2 linked regions of the Cricetulus griseus genome follow. The protein of the gene in region 1 purifies or fractionates together with the protein of each later gene. This does not show direct contact. Links are inferred from orthologs where the notes say so. Each region holds a gene or a part of one and is shown on either strand. Other genes may lie near its edges. The genes, in order: Ngfr and Ndn.

Region 1 (3,824 bases):
TCCCCCATTTATCTCTGCCCCTTTATTCATATCCTGCTCACTTCTGGTGACCATACAGAGGTTGGCAGGGGACCTGCCAGGAGACAGAACACCTGCAAGGTCTGTTCTGCTCATGCCACACCTTCCCCCATTTGCCATCCTATACTCACTGTCCAGGCAGGGTTCACACACGGTTTGGTTGGCTCCACAAGGCTGGGCCACACCTTCACCCAAGTTGCAGGCCTTGCAGCATTCTCCGCTATGGGTGTACAAGCCTGTGGAACATGTCTCCTTGGTATCTTGGCACCTTGACACCTAGGTGGAAGAAGATCAGAGGGTCAGCCTGGCAGGAGAGGGGGGGTATCTTCCAGGGGATCAAACGCCTCCCTCTTAATACCTTCTATTGGAACCACCTGGGCTGGGATGAGCTCACCCGGGAGGCATTAGGAGGATCAAAGCTAGCAGGAAGGAAGGCTGGGGGAGATGGGGGACGGGGACAGTGTGCCCTTGACTGCTCCTGGGGTGTGAGGTCACAGTCTCAGTGGCTAACCTTCAGCAAAGTTCATCTTGGGGTTACAGCCCCTCATGGAGCCCTGAGGATACACCACATGAGGAGGGCAGCCTGAGACCAACATCCAGAATAGGCGGACAGGTTGCAGCTTGCATAAGGCTCCTGGCCAAGGGGGCCAGTGGAGCTGAAATCTGGTCCAAACTCCATTTGCTAAGCCTTACACCTGCAGGGCTTTAATTCCCCAGACGCAGGGCCTTTCCTAACAAAGGGTAACAGGGCCTTTCTCCAGGTCTCACTCTACATATTAAATATCAAAAAGGAGTTGTCTATGTCCAAGAGCAAGCAGAAGGCAAGAGACCTGGGTCTTGGGTTCAAATCTTGACTTCAGACAGGTTTCTGGCCTGTCCTGCTTTTCCTTTTGGACTTTTCAACTCTCTGCAGATAAAGACAGTGAATGACAGCTTGGTGCCAGGGCAAAGGACAGGCTGATGGGCAAGTCTGGCGCCAAGACAGGCAGAAAGGGATCCCTGTTATCAGTAGCTGCTCTCACCATCCAGCAACTCTGTTCCACCAGAGTTGTCTTCCAGTCACTAGCCTGACTTCCTCCCCTCCCCTCCCCTCTCCTCCCATGTTACCCCTGGGAACAGAGCTGGAATAGGGGGAAAGGGGAATCAAATTCCTACCACTACAGCATCTTTGCTCATGGATGGAACGACTTAGCACCAGATTCCCCAGAGGGAGGGGCTGCAAGAGGCTCGCTTTGTTTCTGTTTCTTAAAGAACAATCTTAATGTCTAATAAAACTCCAAAGCCTTCTCTGCAGGCTCCAGACCTTGCACACACACCCCATTTGATGCTGAGCAATTTGGGCTCTTGTCGTGAGATGAGGGAGCTTTACAAGATTTCTTGGGCATTCTTCTACAACTTCCATGCTGGACAGATCTTTGCCAAGATATTATATATATATATATATATATATATATATATATATATATATATATATTGTGGTCTTACCAGAGTTTGATGGGAAATGAACTATAGAAGTTGGGGGAGGAACACTGGGTGATGCCCTAGGAGCAACATGGTCTCTATGAGCCCTTCAGGGACAATGAAGGCAGCACAGAAGCTGCCACCATCTCCTCCCAGGTGCCAGCAGTAGGAGTGCTGGCTGGCAACATCTGCAGACCAGGAGCCCTGAGGCAGGCTTTTCTCAGGAGCTGAGATTCCAGAAGGGTCTGTTCTCATTTCCTTTCATCACTTAGGACTCTACTTAAATATCACTTCCTCAAGGAAGTGTTCCTGTCATCCCCACCCCTCCCAGACTAGATAGGCAGAGCTATGGACATGGGGTTGACTGTCTATCTCCTGCCCCTACCTGGCACAGAGTGGGGAACCAATGGACATAACTGTGTGATTTAAGAACAGAAAGTTACCATACACCTTCAGTTACCTAGAAGTCTGGAAGACTGACTTTGGATGACTATGTGTCCTCAGGAGAAAAAAAAAAAAGTGCTGCTGTCATTCAGTGTCTCTCTCTGTGTGACCTGGGGGCTGCACCCTCCTCTGCCTCTGCAGTTTCTCCATCACTGGGGCACTGGCTGTTAGCAGCAGCGATTACTCAGGGCTGCAATGCAGCAGTGCGCTCATGTTCCTGATCCCAGATGACCATATTTTTTGTCATTTTGTCAGCTTTTTGATAATTTTCCTGTCCCTTCTCTTCCTGTCAAGGTATCAGTTGTCACTTCTTGCTCCTATCAGCGTGACTGGAAGAGTCCTTCTCCCAGAATCATAATGTATCAGTTCTAATGGAGTTTTTAAAATGATGTCACTGGACTTGGTAAAAAGCTGTCTGGGAGCCAGGTGCACACATGCCTGTGATCCCTGCATAAGGAGCTAAGAAAGGAAGACCTCCAGTTTAAGGCCAGCCAGGACTACACAGAGAGAAATGGAGATGGTGTGTGTGTGTGTGTGTGTGTGTGTGTGTGTGTGTGTGTGTGTGTGGTACTAGGAGGAGGAGGAGGAGGATGAGGAGGAGGAGGAGTTAACATGAAAGAACAGTACCCTGGGTCAAACATTTGGGCATAATCACTGCCCATTCCGCTTCTTCCATTGATCTGAGTCCCTCATCATTTAGGGCCAGAATGATGGACAGGTTTGTAATTTCTCTGTGCCTCTGTTTCCTACCAGTAGATAATCATGACATCAGCTGCCTCAAACTGCTGTAGTAAATGTGGCGAGTATGGGTCAAAGTTCTTCAGAATTCCCCTTTTAGCCATAAGTGGTGGCACAGGCTTTTAATCCCAGTACTCAAAAGGTAGAGGCAGCCAGGGCTGTTACACAGAGAAACCCTGTCTCAAAAACCAAACCAAACAAGCAAAAACCTTTTTTTCCTTCTAGTATGTGTACCCTTTGTGGACCTGGGTTGTGTACCACTGCTCCACCAAACCAAAGTCAGCAGAGAGTTGGAGGGTGTATGTTGGGGGTGGGGCTGATGATGCTTGTGGGAGCCATAGTAGCTTTGGGCAAGCATCCCTGCCCTTCCCACTCCTTTCAGGACTTGTATTTAAAGTTGAAGCCACACAGTCAGCATCTGCACTTAGTTTATGTTGCCTCTGTCACAAAGTCCAAGATTTGCTGCAAAATAGCCTGTGATTTTGAGTATCTTATTCTTCCTAAATCTCAGTTTTCCTATCTAAAACACTGGGACGAGTATGACTCCTGCACTGGATTGTTATGAGAAGTGAGTGCAATAATGTATGCAGATCTGTGCGGTGTACAGTAGGAGTTCAATCAATGGTAGTTATTGAGGAAGTCGTGTGTCTTAGGGAGTATGAGATGCTGACCCGAGGGAAGACAAAGCAGAAAGGGAGCCATCCGCCAAGCAGGAAAGTGTGACTGGAGTTCAGGCTAATTGCTCCAAAATCCGATCCAAATTGACCAATTTATCAAAATGACAGACCCATTTGCCTGATAGTTATATCTATTACATTCATTCATTTCAAAGTTGATAGCATGGCGTCTCCATTTTTCAGAATGTTTACCATCTATTTTTGTCATTGCAGGGCTTGTGGTGTTCCGATGAATTGACTTTTTTTTTTAATTGGACAAAACAGAAAACACACCAACGTTTGCAACTATGTGGGTGTTTCCATGGGCTCCTTCCTGAGCATACACAACAGCTTCAGAGAAGGCTCCTCAGAGAATAGAAGCCTGGTCACAGCCATATGGGGTAGGAGAGGTTTTCAAATAGCTGGAGAGCGTTAGATAGATTCGAACCTAGGAGTAGGCACTGGCTTCCGGCTCTACTCCCCGCCCCTTTGGTCAGCCACTGAGTC
Region 2 (3,107 bases), on another chromosome or scaffold:
TTTCTTTGATTATTACACCCCTTAAATGTCAAAGTCTTTGAAGTGTCACCAGTTTGATTAAATAGAAAAATAAAGCTGTAACCCTGAGTGGTCTTGGGTAATGGTTTTCCACTCTTTTAGTTGAACACCATGTTTGTGCATGCTGTGCATGGGCAGATCTTCCTCATTCCCTCCCATCCCAACCCCCCTTCCCACAAAATAAATACCCCCCCAAAGAAATTATTCCACAAGGATCTTTAATGCTCACTTCAAAGTTTATTTATGGTGGGGTTGTATACATGTTTGGTAGGGTGTGCTAAGTGCCTACACTGAGAACATTCCAGTTCAAATCAGTCCATTCCACAGGGATGCTTCCTGTGCCAGTTGAGTTCATATAAGAGGGCCCTTGACCTTTCTCTGGTCAGGCCTGCTTTGCTCACCTCCTAACTCTCCTGGGCTTTTATGTTGATACAGATCATCACTTTCATACAAAGAATAGATACACAACATCTCAATGGATTTCACAGGTTCAGCACAGCACATCTCTTGTACAAAAAAGCACAGAAGTGAAAGCATCCACTTGCTTACTTGTAAACGCACATGCATAAATCCTTAACACGCTCCAAGCGAACACAAATGAATATATTGCATTGAAAGGTACAAAAGCACTGTAAGGAAAACTTAAAGGTTACACATGAAATACTGCACTGTGAATGTGGAATACTCTAATGACCCAACCCCACCCTTATACAGCCCAAGTATGGGTCAGAAATTATCAACATGCTGGGGACCTTCCTAATCACCAGAGACACTGCTGCGGGGGCAGTGGGCAGCAAGATTAGCCTCCCGCAGAGCTCTGGCCTGCTCCAGAGCCTCTCGGTAGCGGGAGGGCCAAGCCTGGGGATCTTTCTTAAAGACCCTGGCCAGGAACTCCATAATCTGCATCTTGGTGATTTCACGGTTGGCTCTGGACCCCCAGAAGAACTCGTACTCAGGAGGATCGCTGTGGGGAACAAGCTGGTACTTCAGGTAATTCTGCTGGACGAACTCCTCGGTGATAATCTTCCTCACGTCTCCGAAGGTGGAGTGCTTCTTCCAGGGCCTCAGTCCCAGGATGTGCAGCACATTCCAGACGGCTCCCTCTCTGGCCCCGCGGCCCTTCACGTAGATGAGGCTCAGGATCATGAGCAGGAGGCCTGTCATGGGCATACGGTTGTTCAGCGCCACTCTGTCCAGTTCTGCTGGGCTGAGGGCTTTGACCAGGGCGAACTCCATCGTGTGGATATTGGTCAGCCTCAGGTGCAGCCCAAAAACTCTGGCAAGGATGAGGCTGGTGCGCCGGAGGATGCTTCTGCACCATTTCTTGTAGCTGCCCATGACATCTTTCACCATGTCTGGGAACCAGAGGACCATCCTCTTCTGGTCCTTGACCAACACGTACCACATGAGCTCGTGCGCCTTCTGCACCACCTGGGCCGGGGCGGGTGGTGTTGGCAGCTGACGGACCGGGCTATCGGGATTGTGGGCGCGGCCCTCCTCTATGGCCTGCTCCAGAATCTTAGGGTCAATATCTTCTAACCTTTCTGGAGGCGGCGGCGAGGCCTGCCGGGCTGCCATAGGGCCTTCAGGAGCTTCTGGTGCCTCTGCGACGATCGCGGCTGGAGATGTGGGAGGAGGGACCCCCACCGGAATCTCAGAGCTCTCCTGCACCTCGGAGTTGGCGGCATCAGGTGCAAAGTTAGGGTCGCTCAAGTCCTTACTTTGTTCCGACATGTCTGCGCCTTCTGATCAGAGCAGGACCGCTGCGACTTGGAGCTCTTGGAACCAGCACTCCCTCAGTGGACACCAGCAGAGGAAGTGCGCTTTACTGAGAGCTGTGCCTTCCGCAGCAGCGGCCGGGCGGGGCGGACTTGACACTGCGCATGCGTGTTGGCAAGCCAGAAGGGTGGTAGGGCTGGATAGGAGCTGAGATGCAAAGCCCAACCACTGGGGTCTGAGGGAGGGTACCACTAAACTAATGGGAAAGATCTCCAGGTCTCCTGGGTGAGCTAGAAAGAGATGGTGATGGGGAAGGAGCAAGTTTAAGTAGAAAGATGCAGCTGAGATGGTGAAGTCAAGTTAGAGCACCTTTGAGTTTTTGTGTGAAAGGGGGTAGACTGGCTAGAGAGCTTGGACTTTCTACAAAAGAGTGAGACAGTAATGAGTTTTTGATTTTTTTTTTTTTTTTTGGAAGTGCGAGCATTGTGAAGATAATGTGATGTTTAAGATTGGAATGTTGAAAAATTAATAGAGCAAATCTTTACCAAACCTGAGTCCAGATCCAATACGGAAGAATATAAAGTGTCATTACAGACACTGGAAATCAGCCCAAGTGGAATTTGAATGTTTTGGAAGTAATAAAATTATATAGCATAATTGGTGTGTGTTTAAACATTTTTTTATTGGGATGGGAATTGGCTCAGTCCATGGGTAAGAGCATTTGTAGTGCAAGTGTGAGAACCCTAGTTCAAATCCCTAAGACTCACAAAAAATGTAATGGCATAGTCTGTGTTTGTAAACCCTGCTCTGAGAGGTACAATTAGGAGAATTACAGGCATTTGCCAGAAACCAGCCCAAGTTTAGGTTCAGTGAGAGATCCTGTCTCAAAGGAATAGGGTAGAGAACAATAGAGCAGGATACACAACACCCTTCTCATAAATTTGCATACACTTACACAATATACACATATAATTGACACAAATAAGAGTTTGTCTTTATACACAAGCACAATATGCAGTAAGCAAACTTGCATAATTAACACATATATCACTTTAACCTTTAGGGATATTTAAAATTCCTTTTTCTATCTCCTTAAACATGTATAGCTGAGTACACCCACTGCACTTTGTTATAGTACACTACAGAATATTGTTCCTAACTATGTTCTTGTTTCAGAAGGCAATCTTTATCCTCCATGTTCCTTTCACAGCCTTTGGTAATCAATTTTCTACTCTCTACTTATTTGATGTCATGTCTCCCTCATTTCCACAAATGTTGGAGATCAGGAAGCTTTGTCTATATATAGCCCTTTTCACTTCACACAATTCCATCAAGTTCATACATGCTGTCACAAGTAATAAACAATATTA

Evidence for each region.
Region 2: the proteins of Ngfr (region 1) and Ndn purify together in Homo sapiens (affinity purification with western blotting; 3 studies listed by BioGRID). This does not show direct contact. The link is inferred for Cricetulus griseus from reciprocal best matches to the Homo sapiens genes NGFR and NDN.

What each region holds. Positions count from the first base shown.
Region 1 is NC_048600.1:108,748,027-108,751,850, forward strand, and holds part of Ngfr (tumor necrosis factor receptor superfamily member 16), read right to left. Parts: intron 279-3,824; coding exon 150-278; intron 1-149. UniProt on the Homo sapiens protein: Low affinity receptor which can bind to NGF, BDNF, NTF3, and NTF4. Forms a heterodimeric receptor with SORCS2 that binds the precursor forms of NGF, BDNF and NTF3 with high affinity, and has much lower affinity for mature NGF and BDNF.
Region 2 is NC_048596.1:135,134,115-135,137,221, forward strand, and holds Ndn (necdin), read right to left. Parts: upstream 1,753-3,107; coding exon 775-1,752; downstream 1-774. UniProt on the Homo sapiens protein: Growth suppressor that facilitates the entry of the cell into cell cycle arrest.